Rattus norvegicus: one gene and its partners. The protein of the gene in region 4 binds, or shares a complex with, the protein of the main gene of each other region. Links are inferred from orthologs where the notes say so. Each region holds a gene or a part of one and is shown on either strand. Other genes may lie near its edges. The genes, in order: Gipc2, Gipc1, Clta, Myo6 and Tom1.

Evidence for each region.
Region 1: the proteins of Myo6 (region 4) and Gipc2 are in contact, whole or in part, in a crystal structure (PDB 5V6H), measured with the Mus musculus proteins. The link is inferred for Rattus norvegicus from reciprocal best matches to the Homo sapiens genes MYO6 and GIPC2. Residues at the interface, in NP_001034635.2 of Mus musculus: Ser1055, Lys1056, Trp1057, Lys1058, Tyr1059, Arg1084, Arg1085, Leu1086, Val1088, Tyr1089, Trp1092, Lys1093, Asn1096; in NP_058563.1 of Mus musculus: Glu255, Leu256, Tyr257, Met258, Gly259, Ile260, Asp262, Asp264, Leu265, Thr268, Thr289, Leu290, Asp292, Phe293, Ala294, Pro296.
Region 2: the proteins of Myo6 (region 4) and Gipc1 are in contact, whole or in part, in a crystal structure (PDB 5V6E), measured with the Mus musculus proteins. The link is inferred for Rattus norvegicus from reciprocal best matches to the Homo sapiens genes MYO6 and GIPC1. Residues at the interface, in NP_001034635.2 of Mus musculus: Ser1055, Lys1056, Trp1057, Lys1058, Tyr1059, Ala1060, Arg1084, Arg1085, Leu1086, Val1088, Tyr1089, Trp1092, Lys1093, Asn1096; in NP_061241.1 of Mus musculus: Glu273, Ser274, Tyr275, Met276, Gly277, Ile278, Arg279, Asp280, Glu282, Leu283, Thr286, Asp310, Phe311, Ala312, Pro314, Glu316.
Region 3: the proteins of Myo6 (region 4) and Clta are in contact, whole or in part, in an NMR structure (PDB 6E5N), measured with the Homo sapiens proteins. The link is inferred for Rattus norvegicus from reciprocal best matches to the Homo sapiens genes MYO6 and CLTA. Residues at the interface, in NP_001355794.1 of Homo sapiens: Met1053, Thr1054, Pro1055, Met1058, Ala1059, Met1062, Ser1087, Trp1089, Lys1090, Tyr1091, Glu1113, Arg1117, Leu1118, Val1120, Tyr1121, Trp1124, Asn1128; in NP_009027.1 of Homo sapiens: Glu47, Asn48, Glu50, Ala51, Phe52, Ile54, Leu55, Asp56, Gly57, Gly58, Ala59, Pro60, Gly61.
Region 5: the proteins of Myo6 (region 4) and Tom1 are in contact, whole or in part, in a crystal structure (PDB 6J56), measured with the Homo sapiens proteins. The link is inferred for Rattus norvegicus from reciprocal best matches to the Homo sapiens genes MYO6 and TOM1. Residues at the interface, in NP_001355794.1 of Homo sapiens: Ile1182, Phe1184, Trp1202, Gln1214, Glu1216, His1218, Asp1220, Lys1221, Pro1222, Ile1224, Leu1226, Glu1234, Met1235, Cys1236, Leu1238, Glu1242, Thr1243, Gly1244, Leu1245, Arg1247; in NP_005479.1 of Homo sapiens: Ser440, Glu441, Phe443, Phe446, Leu447, Arg450, Ala451, Ala453, Ala454, Asp455, Leu457, Pro458, Asn459, Leu460, Ser461.

What each region holds. Positions count from the first base shown.
Region 1 is NC_086020.1:243,767,400-243,771,577, reverse strand, and holds the start of Gipc2 (PDZ domain-containing protein GIPC2), read left to right. Parts: upstream 1-1,378; 5' UTR 1,379-1,396; coding exon 1,397-1,636; intron 1,637-4,178.
Region 2 is NC_086037.1:41,381,138-41,385,371, reverse strand, and holds the start of Gipc1 (PDZ domain-containing protein GIPC1), read left to right. Parts: upstream 1-1,429; 5' UTR 1,430-1,467; coding exon 1,468-1,755; intron 1,756-2,446; coding exon 2,447-2,632; intron 2,633-2,726; coding exon 2,727-2,907; intron 2,908-3,544; coding exon 3,545-3,657; intron 3,658-4,234. UniProt on the Homo sapiens protein: May be involved in G protein-linked signaling.
Region 3 is NC_086023.1:63,047,716-63,051,225, forward strand, and holds part of Clta (clathrin light chain A), read left to right. Parts: intron 1-479; coding exon 480-597; intron 598-3,510. UniProt on the Homo sapiens protein: Clathrin is the major protein of the polyhedral coat of coated pits and vesicles.
Region 4 is NC_086026.1:89,966,212-89,970,201, forward strand, and holds the start of Myo6 (myosin VI), read left to right. Parts: upstream 1-1,185; 5' UTR 1,186-1,369; intron 1,370-3,990. UniProt on the Homo sapiens protein: Myosins are actin-based motor molecules with ATPase activity. Unconventional myosins serve in intracellular movements. Myosin 6 is a reverse-direction motor protein that moves towards the minus-end of actin filaments.
Region 5 is NC_086037.1:13,410,092-13,414,051, forward strand, and holds the start of Tom1 (target of Myb1 membrane trafficking protein), read left to right. Parts: upstream 1-1,152; 5' UTR 1,153-1,223; coding exon 1,224-1,275; exon of another isoform or gene 1,276-3,960.

The DNA of each region.
Region 1 (4,178 bases), on a different chromosome or scaffold from region 4:
CATGCATATATACACACATGCATGCACATATATACTACATGTACATACACACATATATACACACTACATGAATGTACATATATACTCATGTAATGTACATACATATACACACATGCATGCATACACACACACACACACACACACACACACACACACACACACTACCCCCGCCACCTTTTCTTAAAGAGAGCCTAGAGTGGAGAAATTAGATGGTTTCAGATGAAAGATTGCTTCAGAGCTTATAGAAGTGAGGTGGCTAGAGTTTCTGATGCGGCATGGGGAACAGAGGGCACACACATCTCAGTGAATGTCTTCAGCTCTTTGAAGAACAGGACAGAGTTTCTCTTAGGATGTGAAACAATGGACTGAGGAGTGTTGAAAACCTAGGGGAGAAAGTGGGCCTCCCAAAAGGAGCCTGTCACAGAGAGGTACTGCGAGAATGGCTGAGGTACTTGACTTGACACTTGCAGAGGGAGAGAGCTCATTGCAGAGAGGGCAAGTTCGAGGAAGGATGGCTTCTACATAGGTTCCTATGGACAAAGTCTCTGGCTGGGGTTACCCAAATGTGGCTGAATGCTGCCTCTACTACAATGGTTTTTAGGTTAGCACACAAAGTTATGAGTTTGGTTATGGCATTTTCACACGTACAGGTCACTGTCGTCTGTTTCTGTGTCTCCTCCCCCACTGTTCTCCCTGGACCACCTTCCCCTGTCTACTTTCCTGTCTTATGGATTCTGTAACCTCCCACAGTTCCCTTTCTTTTTTTTGCATGTTCCCCGACACATGTAATCTACACATGAGAAGAAAAACAGGCAACAGTCTTCTTTTTGAGCCCGGCCTACTCTGTTTAACATAGTAATGTCCTCTTTCCATCTTTTCATTTCCCTGCAGATATTATAGTTGAGGGCCTTTCATCGTGGGTGTGTGTGAAGTGGGCTCACTCTGTAGGCCAGGCGAGTCTTCTAATCCTTGCAAGCATCCTGTCCCAGCCTTAACAGTGCTGGAATCACTGGCCTCAACCACCACACCCAGTTGAGCGCCCAGATTGTGAAAGGGAAAGCAAGGCTGACGTGAGAGACCTTTGTTAGCATCCCGGTCCCTTCATGGAAATCAATTCCTTTCACTCAGAGGAGGCTTGGGTTGACCCGGTAAGCTTGAGTCTAGAAGGGAGCTGACCCATTGTGCACAGCTTTCCTTCTGCCTGAGCAGGTAGCAGCCCGGCTCAGGTGCCCTGTCCTTCACAGGGAGGGGACCTGAAACCCGCGCCGCTAGGCGGAAGCGCTGCTGCCATTGGCCAAGCAGCCACTGTCACCTGCGCGGAGCCAGGCCCCCGAGCGCAAAGTCCGCTGTCCGAGGCCAGGGAGAGCCTGGTGGTCCACACCCTCGGATCTGCAAGATGCCGCTTGGGCTGCGTGGGAAGAAGAAGGCTGCCAAGTCCAAGGAGACCGCGAGGCTGGTGGAGGGCGAGAGGTCCGGTGGCAGCCAGGGTGTCCCCGGACCCCCAGCTCCGGCACGGAGGCTGGTGTTCCACGCACAGCTGGCGCACGGCAGCGCCACGGGCCGAGTGGAGGACTTCTCCAGCATCAGCGAGCTCTACGCCAAGATCGCAGGGGTGTTTGAGATCGCGCCGTCCGAGGTAAGCGCAGGGGGCACAGTCTGTTCGCCACCCAAGCCTGCGGCGCAGCACTTCCCGAGCCTCAAGTAGCCTGCTGGTGCTGGGTGGAGTCGGTCCCCAGAGCATCGGAGGGAAGAGTGTGTGGTGGTGGAAAGGCCAGTCCCGGGACCGGATGAAACTATCCGCTCAGATCCGGCTTGTGGGTCATTGGGGTCAAGGCGACTAGGCTTTCTTTTGTTAGGGAGTCTGCTGTAGACGTGCTCAGGTCTGGTCGTTCAGGATAGGATGTGCGCCAGCACCTTCCGGGACTCAGATCTGTTGCGACGAATGAATGCCTTCCACAGGACTTGGACTTTACTCTTAGGCTTTCTGTCAGAGAGCTGCATTGGGAGTCTAACCAGAGTTAAAGAGAAGGGGGAAAGTGTAAAGGGGAAGGACTTCCTGGTGGGTGCAACCTGAAGCCTACTTTGCTCACCCCTGGATGGCTCCAGGAAGAACTGCTTTGGTGATAATATATAAGAAATTTAAAACATGGGTTGTTATTCCAAGGGAAGGAACTCAGAAAATCATAGCAAACTATCTGACTAGCAAACGCAGCTTTCACGGAAGAGCTCAGCTACATTTTCCCAAGGTATCTTTGAAAAGAGACCAAGAAATGTAAGTAGATTGATAATATGATGCCTGAAACTGGAGTTGCCATAGGTCCTATCTTAGACGCATTAGTCTGTGAGGATTTTTGTGGGCCCTCGGCGCTTACACCGGTGTGAAGTAAATGTTTTAGAGCTGCAGTAAAAGCCGAAGACTCCGGAGTTCAAATCCCTGAACTCATCAGAAAAAACACACGGTGGTAACCCCAGCCTAGGGACAGGCTTGAACCAGCCTAGTCTACTCTGTATGTTTCAGGATTGTGAGAGAAGTTGTCTCAAACAAGCAAACAAACAAACACGGAGTCTAAGAAGCAATGTTCAGGACTCTGGCATTCCTACTCAGTGTCCCCCTGGCCTCTACAAGCAGTTGCACACATGAAAACGTTTTGTTCATTTTTGTGTGAGTGTGCGTGCTATTGCCAGGGCACACAAAATGTGCGTGTGTGCACACAAATGCATGGATATACGCACCGTCTCTTTTGGAGCTCAGGCTTTTGCCGTGGGCTTTCAGAACTGTAGATAGCAACTTCTTCTCAGAGCGGGCCTACGTACATCTGTTTTTTATTAATTTTTTGAGGGTTAAAAACATTGTCTTATGTGGGTGAGTGTTTTGTTTACACGTGTCTGTACAGACTCATCCCCTAGAAGTGGGATTACAGAGGGTGGTTAGCAGCCATGTGGGTGCTGGGAATCACACCAGAGCTGTCTGGAAGATCGGTCAGCACTCCTAACCATTGACCCATCTTTCCAACCCCAAGAAAGGAGTTTTAAAAGTGCTAGCCTTTGTTCTTTCAGGGTTCCCAGGCTCTAAGGACAAATCACAAGTCTTTTTGTGGATCATTTATTTTTAGTGTAGGATTGCCGTAACACGGTGTTTGTATAGGAGTGTTCAATTGAAGAGGAACTTTTAGAGTAACACTCGACTTTCACCGTCTCCAGGTGAGGTAGGTGGCAGGCTAACCAGATGTGGTTGACTGTGGAGCCACCAACATGCAGTAGCTGGGTAGCCTTGGCTAAGGTTGACTTCTGTCAGCATCAGCCACCTATCGGGCAGAGATAAAGGTTATCTCCCAACAAGGCTGTCCTTCAGACTGGAGGCGTCTGTATGTAAACCCAACAGGTTACACTGGATACGGTCAGGACTCTGAAAACTGTAATTAATACCACGGATATGGGCCAGGGAAACAAATGGCTGACCTGCAAAAGGCTGGACCTTGACCAAGGTCAGGTAGCTTGGTGGAAGAAAAGCAAGGCTGCTGTTTATACTCAAATTCTCTGGTTTCCAAGCTAGCAAGAGCCTTCGTGTAATACTGGGGAGCTTTAAACTCTCTTCTGTAACCGGGGACTGACTCCAGACTTAGTCTTTTTCATGGACAGCTTTCCTTATTGTGTGTGCATAAAGGATTCTGAGCTAAAGATACATGATTTTATCCAATATACTTAGCCCCTAAGAAGTGTTACTGTGTTCTTGCTTCGCACAGACGGAACCAGGGCTTTGAGGTTCAGATTCAAAATCATACATTGTTGCAGGATATTTGATCACACTGTGAACCCCAAGACTGTGTTTTAACTGAAAAAAAAAAACCTATTTCTAGCTGTGGTGGGGCTCAGCCTTAGCATACACTTTTAATCCCTCTGGCTGGAATACAGTCAGGCCCTGAGTACACTCCTTCAATCCCAAACAATGAAGGTAAAGTTAGTTTGTAGAAAGAAGCAGCCATGTTTGAAAGTGATACCTAATTGAGTGACAGACAAGGTGACAAATAAGAGAAAGATTTGACAGAATAGGATACGCCTACCTCTCTTCCCATAGGAAGAGAGAGGAAGGGGAAGCTACTTAAGAAGCAGTGCAGAGAATTAAATTCACATTTAGGACACGTGGTAAATGGCAGAGCCTCCGTGTAAGCCCCTTTTTC
Region 2 (4,234 bases), on a different chromosome or scaffold from region 4:
GTGTGTAAGTACACATAGCCCAGTGCACATGTAAAGGTCAGACGACAGCTTGCAAGAGTGCGCACTCTCCCTTCATTGGGCCCAGGTGATTAAACTCAGGCCTGCAGGGGTGATGGCCATCTTGCCAGCCCTCCACCTTGCGTTTTGAGACAGGATTTCTCACTGGCCTGAGCTCACTAGGTAGGCTAGGTGGGCTTTGAGCCTTGGGGGTCCTTCTCTCTCCAGCTCTGTAAGATGCTCTTACAAGGGCATCTTTCCTCATGGTTTTTTGTTTGTTTGTTTGTTTGTTTTTTTCTTTTACATAAACCAGACCCAAACTTGGGTTTTGCACAGAGCATTAATGACTGCAACTGATAGAAAATGAAAAGACACTGTGTCTGGTGGTTTCCATCTGCTCCAACACTGCAAGATGAACAGAGGTAGAGTTGGTGAGTTCTAGGCCAGCCTGGACGACAGAGTGAGAGCCTTCTCAGAGAAATGGAAAGTAAAGGGCCATCCAGCATTTTATCTTCCCTTCAGTTGTCTGCTCCAGTGGGTGTGGTCAGGGCAGGATGCACCAACGGCCTCATGCCTCATCCAGAAGGAGAATTGAACGAGGTCACAGAGCAGCGGGTGTGGGGTTGTAATGGGTATCTCTGTGGGGATTATTACTGTGCAGTGCGAGGCTTCATTCTGATGCTGGGATGAGACCGGGTCCTCATTAGCACGTGCTCCACCACTGAGCTGCACCCCAGCATCGGAGCTATCTGGAGTCACCTCTCTTCGTTCACATCAGCTCTGGGTGCCCAGATTGAATCCACTGTATACAGAAAATACTTGGGTGAGGCAGATGTCCTGCTATTTCCCTGTAATCCCATCCACTCTGCAGTCTGAAGCAGGAGGATTGCAAGTTCAAGGACAGCTGAGCAACTGAGAGATAACTGCCTCACACTAAAAAGTAAGAGGCAGTCTAGACTTGTAGCTTGGGTCCACATGCACAAGGCCAAAATGGCCGATTCGGAGAGAGCCTTGTACCTATGCTGACCATGGACAGAATCTTGTGTTGTTACTCTTCAGACAATACAGCGGAAGAAGAGTTTGCATAGCTTTAAATGTGTACAGCAGATTCCACTGTACGGGAGGAGCTGCAGCTCTGTGGACAAGCGCCAGCCAAGCAGGGGCGATGAAAGCCTCAGCAGAACGCAAACGCAACACAACGTTATATAGGCCGCAATGTGCTGGAGGTGTCCTGGCTCCCTGTGCTTGGGAGCCTGAGTCACGTGATCAGACACGGTGGGGTTCGGTGGTGGAGCACTTGACTAGCACCAGGCCCCTGGGTTAAGAAACATTGCTTCGCAAAATAGAACCATGTTGGTTGATGTCGATACCATGTGGTGGTGATGGATGGCACCCAAGGCTGGTACTCAGAGAGTGAAGCCCGATTCCCTTTCGCAGGTCTCCCGGCCAAGTCCCCACTTCTGGCTGCTCATGCCACTGGGACTGGGGCGAAGGAAAAAAGCACCACCTCTGGTGGAAAATGAGGAGGCGGAGCCAAGCCGGAGTGGGCTGGGCGTCGGGGAGCCCGGGCCCCTGGGTGGAAGTGGAGCAGGGGAATCCCAGATGGGTTTGCCCCCACCTCCTGCTTCCCTCCGGCCTCGCCTCGTGTTCCATACCCAGCTGGCCCACGGCAGCCCCACGGGCCGCATCGAGGGCTTCACTAATGTCAAGGAGCTGTACGGCAAGATCGCTGAGGCCTTCCGACTACCGGCTGCTGAGGTACCAGTGGGACCACGGTCCCTTAAGAGCAAGCCACAGGCCTGGGCATGTATTCCTGTGAGCTGGGGCTCGTGTTCCTTGCTGGCCAGCAGCCCCTGAACCTAGGAGGCGTGGCTACAGGAGGATACTGAGTTCCTATGAGGCCTTGAGAGACTTGTACCCTAGTAGGTATGGGGGGGGTTTCCCAACGGGCCTTACGAGGCTCGTAATCTAGTAAATTGTGGGTCTGCAGATACTGATTTCCCATCAGGTCTGAAGTAGCCTGTGTCCTGGAGGATGACAGCCACAGGTGGCAGCTGGGTTTCCAAGGCATTGGGAAGCTTGTGCCCCAAATACTGTGGGACCTCAAGAGGGGGAGGGAGGGTGTTAGGAGCAGCTTCTATTTCTCCAGGGTGCCCTGGAGGCATGACTCCAAGCTAGAAGCTGAGAAGCCACTGGGAGGGCAACAGTGGGACTGAGATTCAAGTGGAGATGGGTAGGAAGGCTGGGTGGGAGTCTAGACCCCCTTCACCCCTCAGTAAGTATCGAGTGATCTCTGTATGTCAAGCTAGCTCTTGAGCTTTTACCAGGACAGAAATCCTGCTCATAGCATTTGATGTGCCAGTGGACCTCTCCTTGGCTTTGGGTGTTACCAGTCCCTGGGATAGGGGACCCAGGGAGGAAGGATGAGCATCTTGCCCCACCTCTGCAGGTGATGTTCTGTACCCTCAACACCCATAAAGTGGATATGGACAAGCTGCTGGGGGGCCAGATCGGGCTGGAGGACTTCATCTTTGCCCATGTCAAGGGGCAGCGCAAAGAGGTGGAAGTATTCAAGTCTGAGGATGCTCTGGGGCTCACCATCACCGACAACGGGGCCGGCTATGCCTTCATTAAGGTGCCCGGGTGGGTGGCACACCCTTAGTCAGTGGCCAGGGTCTTTAATGGGACCTAGAGTGGAGCTTCCAGGGTTGATGCCTGCCCCTCCACAGCGCATCAAGGAAGGCAGTGTGATTGACCACATCCAGCTCATCAGCGTGGGTGACATGATTGAAGCCATCAACGGGCAGAGCCTGCTGGGCTGTCGGCATTATGAGGTTGCCAGGCTCCTCAAAGAGCTGCCCCGAGGCCGCACCTTCACCCTCAAACTCACCGAACCTCGGAAGGCGTTTGGTGAGCCATTCTTGCAACCTGGACCACCCACCGGGCTGACCTTGAGCTCTTAAGAAATACAGATTGTAGTCCTGGGAACCACCAGCAGGTGGCACTCAAGCCTGCAGTGCAGAGTGGGGGCAGCCCCACCCTACCCTAGAACTGAGTGCTGGCTGACAGCCCAGCCAGAAGGAAGTCGCCCCCACACCCGACTTCCAGGAGCCATTAGCCCAGCCGAGTGCCCCCAACCCTGGCCAGCCCCCTCAGCCTGGAGAAGTGAGGCTTGGCTGCCTTGTATGGCTCCTGTGCCCGGCGCCCCCCCCCCCCCCCCGTTTCTACCTGGCTTCACTAACTCTCAGGAATGGGCCTGAGGCACCCCTGATGTGGGTAGAAAGGGCTTATCTGAGACTCAGCAGTTACACTCACCCTTCTCAACCCTCACTCCTTCAAATAGAAGCTACCTTCCATTCTCTCTCCAGCTGCTTTTATGTCTGGCCCCTAGCTGCCCCTCACCATCCATGCAAAGTCCTGCCTTGCTGGAACCCAGTCCCTACCCAAGGAGCCTGCAGAACTTTGAAGGTGGTGGGAGGTGGTTGTGTGAAGCCTGCGTACTGTGTTACCGTGGGCTGATTTTCCCCACTACCTTTGCCTTCTACAGATATGATCAGCCAGCGTTCATCAGGTGGTCACCCTGGCTCAGGCCCACAACTGGGCACTGGCCGAGGGACCCTCCGGCTCCGATCCCGGGGCCCTGCCACAGTGGAGGATCTGGTGAGTGAGCCCCCCGGGCCGGTGACACCATTCTAATTATGTGAAAGGCTCAGGACACCTCTCTCTGCCTAAGCCTACTCTTACCAGCTCTGGGACCTACGGTGGTCCATCGGGCAGCCTGGGGTCTCCTCCCTGTCCAGTAGGTTCAGTGACTTCTTGTCAGAGCAGACATTAGCGATGTAAACAAAAAGGGCTGCCAGCACGGAATTTCTGGCAGGAGGATTTCACATTCGCTCAAACCGTAAGACCTTGTCACCAGGTTCTTATATGAAAATAGATGAAAGGCAGCCCAGTGTAGATACGTACCCATAATCCTCTCCAGGCTACTGGATAGGAGTTAAGTGTTCAAAGCCAGTTTGGGCAACTTAGAATATGTCTGGGTATGAGAATGGTAATTTCTGGATGTTGGGACTGAAGAGATGGGCTTAGCAGTTTATAGGAGGTGTGGCTCTTGCAGACCACACAGGTCAGTTCCAAGTGCCCATGACGGGTGGCCATCTCTTAACTCCAGTCCAGAGGTCCAGTGTTCTCTTCTGACCTCCACAGACACCAGGCAGACACATAGGACACACAGATA
Region 3 (3,510 bases), on a different chromosome or scaffold from region 4:
TCACCCCCATTTTTTGATCCTTCCCTGATTTGACTACAGTTGCTATACTTTTGAATTCTTTCCTAAAGTTTACCGTCTGGCTAGATGTTATTCAGTGACTGTTCCCCTGTGTGGTAAAATGGCTTCTGAAGTCTTAGGCTCTAGGCTTGGCTTTGCTCTGTGCTTATTAGCTTTGAAGGCAGCACATAATCTCCGAATATGTCCCTTACCCATCCAGCCTCAACTCTCCTGTCACCCACTTGTGTCCCGCTTTTCAACAGATAGCAACTAGTCTGCCTCCCTCCTGAGAGCGCAAGGACCCAGCTCAGTAATGTTGCGATGCAGGAGGCTCTCTGGTGGCTTGTAGGGTTCTCTTACTGCTTTAAGTAGTCCTTTAACAGTTACAAGCCCGCCTTCTATGTGACCTGACGTTCTACTCTTGTGAAAAACATTTCAGAAAGACTTGGGGGCACTGATGGATATAATTGTTTTGTGTTAAGGAGAGCAATGGTCCAACAGACAGTTACGCAGCCATTTCAGAAGTGGATCGGTTGCAGTCAGAGCCTGAAAGTATCCGTAAGTGGAGAGAAGAGCAGACAGAGCGCCTGGAAGCCCTCGGTAAGGAATTCCGCTTTGCTTTCAGGTGTCTGCTTACAGTAGAGTAGTTGACGAGAACTGTACTCTGATCCCCTTTAAGCTTGCATCGGCCATAGTGTCTCTGTTCAGTGTTGAGGAAGTTGTATTTCTCAGCCTAAAGGTCACAGGCCACTGGCAAGGATAGGCTTCATCAGCGGCTACTGCATGAAGAACTCGGGAGTGTAGGGAGGCGTCTTCTCCAGGAAGTGAAAGGCTCAGTTCAAGATTGCACCTTGCTGACTGGGTGCCTGGTTCCCGTCTTTCACTGTCATCATCTGAGGGAGTCAGTGATGCTGACTACAGCTGAGTGCTGTTGACAAGCATATGGGAACTTGAGGTACTGCTCATGTGAGCGACACTGACGGTTCACTTCTCATTTGAAAGATGGATCTACTGTTAGGAAATGTGTCCGTACCTTCCCATGCTGTGACAACATAGTGGACAGAATCAACTGAAGGAAGAAGGTTCAATTTGGCTCACAGTTTCAGACATAGCTGCTGGCTCTATTGCTTTCAGGTCTGGGAATAGAGAGACTTCCAGGCAGAACAGACAAAGGGCATCTGTTCGCCTCATAGCAGATAGGAAGCAGGGAAGTAAGGATGTCATACAGTTCAGAGGGACTCTCCACAGCCACCACTTCACCCAGCCTTTACCTCCCCTGTTACCACATCTCCCAGTGGTCCATTCAGTCATGGATCAGCCCATGGATTAGGTCGAGTCTCTTACAGTGCAGTCACTTCCAACAGATAGCACCATGAGCCTTTTTTTTAAAGTCCATAATTGAATTTGTGTGTGTGAATGTTGTAGCAGTGTCTTAGGGTTTCACTGCTGTGAACAGACACCATGACCAAGGCAACTCTTATAAGGAATTTAGTTGGGTCTGGCTTACAGGTTCAGAGGTTCAGTCCATTATCATCAAGGCGGGAGCATGGCAGTGTCCAGGCAGGCCTGGTGCAGGAGGAGCTGAGTTCTACATCTTCACCCAAAGGAAGCCAGGAACAGACTCAACATCCTAGGAGAAGCTAGGAGGAGGGTCTCCAAGCCCAGCCCCACAGTGACACACTTCCTCCAACAAGGCCACACCTTCTAATAGTGCAGCTCCCTGGGCCAAGCACATTCAAACCGTCACAAGCAGCATGTCTGTCTGTGTAGTGTGTCTGGTACCTGCAGAGGTCAGAAGAGGTTGTTGGATCCCCTGCACCTGGAGTTACAGATGGTTGTGACCCATAATGTGGATGCTGGTCTTCTGCAAATCAACAAGTGCTCTAAATTCCAGAATCTTCTCTCAGGCTGTCTACATGAGTCTTTTTAGGGGATCCTATCATTTCCAAATCATAACATGGACTTTTTTTCTTTACCTTATTATCCCTGTAAGGTAAGGGATCTTTTTGCATTTTAAAAAAGTATTTATTTTTTATGTGCATTGGTGGTTGTGACTGCATGTATGTCTCTGTGAGGGTGTTGGATGCCCTGGAACAGGAGTTTCAGATGATTGTAAGCCACCATGCGGGTGTTGGGAATTGAACCCAGGACCTCTGGAAGAGCAGCCAGTGCTCTTCCCTGCTGAGCCATCCCTCCGCCCCCCCCCCTTTTCATTTTTATGAATAAAGGTATTGAGGATCATAAGTAGATTACATTTGAAGCACACAGCTAAGGAGTGTGGTAAAAACAAGTTTGGGTTTGTCTGCTCTGCTGAGGCTCCACATTTACCCCACGAGCCACGTGGCTTTCTACGTGCATTTTGTGTACAGGGCCATCTAACTGGGCAGGCCAAGCCCTACCGTGGCATCAGCTTCTTGTTTCTCTGGCTGTCCTGGAACTTGATACTTCGATCAGACTGGCCTCAAATTTACAGAGAACCATCTGCCTCTGCTTTCCAGGTGCTGGGACTAAAGGTATATGATATCATGCCTAGCCCTAACAAAAATAATTATAATGATTGTTAGAATACATAGAAAGAATATAGTCCAATCAAAACACTTAAAAATTGTAAACATGTCAAGGTTCTATTTTGAGACCCAGGATTGGACTCAGGCCATCAGGCTTCTACCCCAGAACCATCTTGCCAGCCACAAAAGGGGTGTGATTGGGAAGTGATTCCAGTTTGCAGTTAGGTCAGGTAGTAGATTTTTATTTCCTTGAAGCTCACGTGGCCTCCTCAACTTCTGGAGTCTGATGGCAGAGTAGTTTATCCTCTGCCCTGTGTGTGCCATGGGCAGGACTGTCGGCAGTTCTCTGCCGGTATGTCAGAGGCTTTCGGGGGAGCTCATAGTATACAGTCTTGTGTGAGTGCCAGGCAACTTCCGGTGAGTTAAACAACAAAGAAGAGAGTCTGTAATAGCAGGACGCCTGGAGATGGCTCTAGACACAGCCTGGCCCAGGAGGTTAGTACGTGTCTGGCAAAGGGCAGATGCCCAGGAATACTCTGCTTCTTCAGGCCTTCCTTACTTGATGCCACCCTGCTTTCACTCTCCTTCTCCAAGGTGCTAATTACAGGTTGGGCTCTTACTCTGTGCTTGGAGACCTCTCTGGATTACTTGATGGTTATATAATCATGTGATTATTTCCAGGTTTGTGTACTGAAGTGAGTCAAGTGTGAGCTTGAGAGCAGACTGGGTCTTTGCTCGCCCCTTATCCATGGCAAGCTTACTCAGCTTTTTGAGGGCTTTTTCCTCCCTTACTGCTGAAAAGGAACCTAAAATTTATCTTCTTGGGAGTATTGTAAAGATTGAGGTCCATGAGAGGATGTCCCCAAGACCATGTTTAACTGTTAGCAATTCACATGTGCTGCTAGCAGTGATCATGCTTCCCTGCCTTTGTGACAGGTGGTCTTCAACCAACATCGTGCAAAACTACATTTAATCTAAAACTTGACTTTGGTGGCTAAGAGTATTG
Region 4 (3,990 bases):
CCCAGTGGGGTCAGAGTACAATTTGAGGAGTTGGCTCTCTCCTTGAACCATGCTCGGCTTCAGGATGGACTGTAAGAGCCCTCACTGGCTGATCTATCTTGCCAGCCCCTTATTTTGTTTTAGTATTAACCTCTTTCCTTGTAAAGGAGATGTTTGTTCTCAAATTTGCATAGGAATGTAATATTTAATTTAAAATGATGACTCATATATGACCTTATAAAGACAATAAAATTAAACAACCAGAAAGATAAAGCGGGGGCAGTTGGCTCAGTTCTATAAAACCAACCCACAAGGATTATCATTACTTCGAGGCTAAGGCAGGCTACACGACGAGTTCCAGGATAGCATGGCTACACAGAAGAGACTCTCAAGAGTCCAAATAAACAATAATAAAGGGGGCGGGGTGGAAATAAGGGGCCATAAGAAGTAAATACGAGCTCAGCATGGGAGGCCAGACAGGGAAGCAAAACTTTTCTTCGGTGGCCCAGTCTTCCAAGGGCTGAACAGGAAGTTGACGCAGGCAGGTGGGAAGCACCAGCTTGGATGGGCCGCTGTGCCACCCTTAAACCCCGCAAGGGAATTCTTCCGCAATTCGCCCGTCCCACTCTCAACTTTTCTTAACTGACTCTTTGCTGTGGACCCTCGCTGCGACATTGGAAGCAACTATCACTGCGAAGAAGGGAACTTCGTGAGGGGTCACCGGCAGCTAGCTGCTTGCAGAGATGCCGGGATGCGGTCAGAGCCTCGGTTCTCTGCTCCTATCCAACTCTTGAGGTCCCGCCTTTATCTTGCCTCACGCCATTAGGCCACGCCCCTACCCAGCACTCCTTCGACGCCCTCCCATCCCCATCCCACGCGCGTCCTGAGGTCCCGCCTCTCTCAACTCTAGCTCTTTGGTCTCTCCTCCCTAGCCGCCCCGGAGCTCGTTGCCTTGAGGCCAGGTCCCTCCACTCCTTCATTCCCGAGACCCAACGAATTGCGAGTCCGACCCTCCTGGCTGCCTAGGACCCGCCCCTCTCAGGCCTCTTGCCCTAAAGCCCCTCCCCTTAGATTATCCCCGCCCCCTGCCAACGCAGACCCGCCCTTTCTCCAGTCGCCCCGCCCCGCTCCCACAAAGTCCCGCCTCCGGCCCCCGCCTCCGCCCCCTGGGCGCTCCGTCGCAGTGACGTGCGCGCCTGGCTGGGCACTCCGCTGGGCTCTCTGGCCGGCGGGTGGAGACCGATCCGGTATCTGTCCCAGCAGGAAGCGTATCCCGGCCGCCGTCGTCTCCGGTGCTCGCTCTCGGCCGCGGCGTCGCGCTCGCCCTTCGCGCCCGCAGTCCGGCAGCCTCTCCACGGCCGCGACCCCTCGCGCACCTGCCTCGCTCGGGGTGAGTGTGGACTCCTGCCCGCCTGCCTGTCCTCACCGCCTTGGCCTCTTCTCTGCCCGGCGCGGACCGGAGCTCTGGCTTCCCCTTCCCCGGCCGGCGGGGCTCCTGTCACCTGACGAGTCCCACCGGACACTGAGAGATGGTTTTCTCCTTTGGAAACAGTGAAAATTCTACATAGACTAGTTTGTTGTCAGAAGTGAAGATCAAATGATACCATTAATAATTTAGCTGTGTCGAAGACCATGGTAGCATTCTACAAAGCTGGAATTTTAGTCTCTAAGCGGTCTAGGATCTTGAGTATGAGTTTTACGGACGTGTTGCTGAAAATAACTTCGTTATTTAATTCCAAAACGTCTTAAACTAATTAAAACGTTCTAGCTGTGAATTGTATTTTTTAAATAGGAAATAAAATGATAAGGCCACTCTTAGATAATCTGTCAGGAACTTTTACACAGAGATACATTTTATCTGACATAAAGTATGCAGAGCAGGGCTGTTTAAATCCTAATGTGCAGATACTATTGGAGCGCTACATAGTTGCTGCTCTGATTTCATACGTGTTGAATAAGACTTTAGTTTGCTCCCGTGGTACAGTTGCACGATGTTCGAATATAGTCCGCTTGAGGCTTTTAACAGCCCTTGAGGCTCAGCAGCAACACCATAAAATCTGAGTCTTGAGCTGGGTGGTCATGGTCCAAAGGTTGGCCGCGGAACAGCAGCATTTCTGTACAGATTAACTCAACTTCAAGACATCCTGGCTTGTAGTTTTCCAACTGGGAAATGTTTAGTGAAAAAAAAAAATTACCTTAGTGCCCTCTAGCATTAATTTTAGAAATAGCCACAGATACTCCAAGGGGGGCAGAGGAAGAGCCAGGAACAATGAAGTTCTTCAGAACAGCTCACTGACTTTTAAATGTCCACTCATTTTCTGTGTTTGCAGTTGCACAGGAGTAAACATGCACAGTGGTAAATAGGAATCATTTTAGTCTGATGTTCATCTGCCCGTAGTGTTTTTATTTTTTGTGTGTGGTCTGTTGCCTGTTTTTCTCTTCCTTTCAAGTTTTGCATTTGTTTTCAAACGTTACTTGTAAAAGGCAGGGGCAGACTACTATCATTAAGAAAAGAGTATTGTGATTAAATATACAGTTAAAAAGCCACGTAGTGTAGATTTTACATATGATCTTTAGTACTTAGCTAGACACATGAGCAAGAAAAAGTGAACAACTATGATTTTTTTTAATAGAAACTACAACAGAGTATTAAAAACAAAAATGCAAATTATACTCCATGGGGCTTATCTGAAAGGGATTTTCCCCTGTTTACACGATCAAGTTTTAAAATAACAGTGGCCAGGAAATCAGAGAGAAGCTGAAGGCTCCTCTCTCATCCTGTTGTGACTTTGCCTGGAGTCTGTGGTGGATCATTTATTGTTTAGACAACTGGTCTGTATCTGGGTTTTGAAAGGCCTTTAGATGGTTTTAAAGATTTCCACCATGTAAGGTCTGAATAAATACATAAGAACTCCACATTAAAAAAAATTCTCTAGTTTTTAACTTTCTCTTGGAACTCAAAACTCCTCTTAGCATACAGGATTGGGAGTGTAATTCAGCAAGTTCCTTGCCTTGTGTGTGTGTGAGGCCCTGGGAACTGGAGTTTTCATTTCCTGTATTAAACATCTTATTTAAACATAAAAGTTTGAAGAACACATTGCAATTTAAATAAATCTCACACAATAGAACAGTGATTCCCAAAAAGAGATACTTTGTTAACAGTTTACGAACTGGTGATTTAGTAACAGTGTGACACACACAAAAAACCTTAAGGTTTGATTTACAAAATAAATTTCCAGGTTGGTGGTCTTTTCTTTTACAGAGGAGAAAATGGAGGTTCAGAGAATTAATACTTGCATGTAGCTTTGGAGGGGCAAAGTCCAGACTCAGTACACACGAGAGCCTTCTGACAGCAGAGCCTCTCACTCCCTTCACCAGAAGCTGTCTTGATTTCCGTTTGTTTGGTGAACTATTGAGAACCCTTTGTAGAACTGGTCTGGAGAGTAGAGGTCGGTATCCTGAATAAACTGTGATAAGGCCATGCATAGAGTCTAGAACTAATTGAGAATTCTGTCTTCTTTCTCAAGGCCTTGAACAGTGAGCCAATGCTGCGGCATCATTTCTGGTGTGGTTCCAGCATGTATTAAGTATTATGTGCTTTTCATTTTGATGGGTTTATAGGAATTAACACTGCAATCTAATCCTGCACTGATTTCATTGTAGCTGAGCTACAATGTGTTACCGTTTAGGATGGAACTTCAGTTTTTGTCCTTCAAATGAGCTAGCTTGTTGCTCTACACAACCTAGCTGTCTCTTAAATGTTATTCAGTTAAATGGAACCTTAGGAGGGAAACATGCTTCAAGATTAAGATAGCCAGGCCTGGGAGATGCTCAGCGGGTAAAAGCACTTGTCTGGAACTCTGATGACCTTAGTCGGATCCCTGGGTCTTATAAGAAACAATTTCTGTGAATTGTCCTCTGACTACCACACATATACCATGGCACATAGCCATGAACAGATAGTTGTAATTTAAGAAATAGAAAAAAATAATAATAAAGATTAAGACATCT
Region 5 (3,960 bases), on a different chromosome or scaffold from region 4:
ACGAATAATAATTAAAGGCTGCATGTTGTAATGTACATACACCTTTAATTCCAACACCCCTGAGATCTGAGTTTGAAACCAGCCTTGGGAGACTGTGTCCAAAAAAACGGGATGCAGAGCATTGGCTTTTAATGTGACAAGGTCCTAGGATGAGCCCCAGCCCTGCCAAGAATGGAAGAGAGGAAGTGAGATGTCCCACGGTACTTGTTTAATCTCAAGAGATTAAATGTGAAAGAATCAATTCCTCGTAAGTTTCGATCTGACACATACAGGATTTTTAAAAATTACAAATTTAAAACATAATGCCTGGCACTGGAGAGGTGGCTCAGAGGATAAGAGCAATGACTGCTCTTCCAGAGGTCCTGAGTTCAATTTCCAGCAACCACCTGGTGGCTCACAACCATCTGTGATGGGCCAGTGCCCTCTTCTGGTGTGTCTGAAGACAGCAACAGTGCGTACTCATACATAAATAAATAAATCTAAAAAAAATTAAAAACATAATACAAAGATACAGCAAGGAAGAAGCAACCATCGCGGAATGCCTGTTGAGTGATTTTCATGTCATCTCAATACTCTGAAAGCATTACATTATGGATATTGGTCGTCCCACCACCACCTTTACAGATGAGGGGAACAGGTAAAGAAAAAGCACTTTTCTGGTTTCCCAAGAGCCAAGGTGGATGAGGTGGCTTACCAGGTAAAGGAACTTGCCACAGTATGTTCAGTTCATTCTCTGTCTCAAAGGAGCACAAACCCAGGTCCTTGCCTCCTCTTTGGCCACAAACGAGTGGCTCCTGGAGCAGGGAGACATCAAATAGAAATTTCGAGTCCGACTTGGACAGGAGGCTATCGTCCTTAGGGCTTGGTCCCCAAGACTAAAGGCTAAGATGCTAATATTTTCGTTATCTTGCGTAACCTGACCCAGGTCTTTCCTTGGCCAGAGACCCAGTTTCCGGATGTGAAGACTTCTAGGCTCCACTGCGGCGCACATAGAAGTTTCGGGGGCGTGGCTTAGGAGCCAGCTCTCCCAGGCCCCGCCCTGGTGTGGCGTCAGCCACTGCCGAGGGGCAGCCCGGTAGGGGGCGGGGCTCGTGGCTGCGCCCCAGAGCCCCCGCCTGCCGGCACCTCCCCGCGGGCCGGCCAGCGGGTCACGTGACGGGTCGGCGGCGCCGGCGGTTGCTGTCACCTGATTCTGGGAGCTGGTGGCAGTGGTAGCCGCGGCAATGGACTTTCTCCTGGGAAACCCGTTCAGTTCTCCCGTGGGACAGCGGATCGGTGAGTCCCGGGAGCCGCGTGCAGTCCCGCCCCTGTGTGCCGCTCTGGCCTCGACCCTGGGACCTGTCGGAGTCCACAGTCAGGGCTGGGAGGAGGGAGGCTAGGCTGCGAGGCTGGCGCGGCGCTCTGGGCTCCGCCTACCCTATGACTCCCACCTGATTGACAAGAGCACAGGCCAATCGGAATTCTTATATGGGGATTGATGCTTGATGTAACCAATAGGCAGGAGAAGGAGACAGTTCTGGGCGGATGTGGCTCAGCCAATGTGTGCGTGCTGGGGTCCAGAGTAGAGGGAGAAAGTTTGGGTTAAAGGGACTGCTGTGGTGAGAAGGCGTTGGGCCGCGCCACCGCTGGGCGCGCGCAGGCTTAGAGCCTCTCCCGGGCTGGCGGCGCCTGGGTCATTCGCCGCGTCACCCGCCGCTCACATTCCGAGACGCCGGGGTATCTAGGTTCGGCCGCGCCTCTGTCCCCATGGTCGGGAGACTCGGGTTTATGTGACGTCGCCTCCTTGATGGTCCTCGCCCATAGTTTAAGGATCATGGCATGGCCTTGCTGGACTTCTTTGATCATTAAATGCATTAATAAGCGCGAGGCATTGAGGATGTTTCCTGGCACATGGCTAACGCCTGTCATTGTCAACGAGGTACCGCCTACTGAAGCTGGAGCCCATGGGAAGATGCCGGCGCCCAGCATCTACTCTCGGGCGAAGGCCAGCTGGCGACATTTACCCAGGAATGGGTGGTCTGGGCGTGACACACATCCCCTTTATCTGACCGCATTGTGAAATTATTTTTGATGTTTTTTTTTCGCCGTTGGTCCAGCCTGGGAAGGCTGGATCTGAAAGCCAAGGCTTCCCCGAAGTCGTTAGTCCAGCTGTGTTGTAACCACCACTGCAGCTGTTAGTGGCTCTTTTGAGGTTCTCATCAGTTCTCTGCAGGGAACTCTGGCGCCTGGAGCCCAGGTGCTTCACAAAAACCCCACCATAAATCGTTGTTTGAGACCCGGAAAGAGAAGGCAGCCCTCTTCTCAGATGTCTTATGTAAAGACAAAGGCAAATTAGTCTGGCCTTCAAAGCCAGCCTGAAAGTCCAGAGACCTGGATAAGCTCATTTGGGTTTAAGATGCCGTTCAGTTCAAAGCTCAGCATCTCTTCCTGCCCTGAAAGTTTGCCTGCCTCGGGCAAAAAATACTCCTGGATAAGAGTGCTGCTACATCAGTACCTTGGAGCGCTGATTAAATCTCACTGCTGGACCCTCTCTGCCTTGGGGTTCATGTCAGAATAGGTTGGACCGATCCAAGACTCAGATGGGCAGGTGTAGGGTTCCCAGTCATGTTCTTTGCAGTTGGCTGGGAGAGCACACGTTTCGAAACCTCCCACCAGAAGCGGTGGCTCACATCTGTAATCCTACACCCAGGAGACTAAGACAGGAGGATTGCCACAAAGTCCCAGGCTAACTGGACTCTGAAATTCATTGCAGGGCAGCATAAGCTGCAGTGTAAGACCCTGTTTCAAACAAAACACCAGTCCATTCTGTCCCGTGGCCCTTCCCTTTACTGAGAGGAAGAGATCAAGTTCTACAGAAGGAAGGGGGTGAAGACTGAGGAACCCCCAAAATCCAGTGCAGTGCGATGAGATGGCAAAGCTGTAAAAGAGCCAGGGGTGGTGGAACAGCACTTAGGAGGCTGAAACAGGAAGATTTTGAGTTCAAGTCCAGCCTGGGCTACAGAGAGAGACCCTACCTTGAAGAACAACAGCAGTGTTCCATACTCTTCCGTGTGTCAAGATAGAAGCACTGGAGGTTGAGCCTGCGTTGGTTTTTTTGAGACAGGGTCTCTCAGTGTTGACCAGGTTGGTCAGGAGCTTCAGGCCTTAAGCAGTCCTCCCCCATCAGCTTCCAAGTGGCGAAGACCTGACTGGCTGTGATGATTGGTGGCCAGGTTTTAGCTGCTTGTATTCTTTATAGCCCAGGCCCCTCTTTGCTGCAGGAGTAAAGTGGTATCTTCTCAGGTCTGCTGACCTCCTGCCCTAAGAGTGGAGTGTTATAGGATTAACATCCTAGGGGATAGCAGTCGTTCAGTGGTGCTAATCAGGGCCCAGTGTCACTGGCCTCACAATTCACATACACCTTGACACTTGGCTGGTCTCACTGGAAATTTCTGCTGCTGTGAGGAGCTGGGCTCATGCCCGGAAGCACTGGGCACCACCTCCTCCCTGAGGCCGTGTCCCATCTCCTGACCCAATCTCTGCTCTTGTGTTCTGTCCTCAGTCTGCGTCCTGTAGGCACAAAACAGCTCTCACCTCAAGGGAAATCAGAGATACTTCATTCTATCCCCGGACCAAATATGAATTGCCATGACCCAAGAATACAGATTCGCATCACCCCAAATAACGTGGTCCAATGTGGAAATGGTTTCATGATATTTTTTGTAGTTGCAGAGAACAAAAGCAAGCCATAAACCAGACACTCAGGCTACAGCAAAGCATGAAAATCTAGGCTCCATGTCTCAGGTGCTAGCTGATGACATTACTAAGTTTGGGTTGGTAGACACTAGTTTTCTATTAACTTATTCCAAAAGGCGTTACCTGGTAGTCACAGAAATGTTAGGTCAGACACAAGATAAGCAATAAGTGGTTACTAAGGGTCTAAAGCAAGGTAATTTGTCTCAAGATCTGCAGCATTCCAAC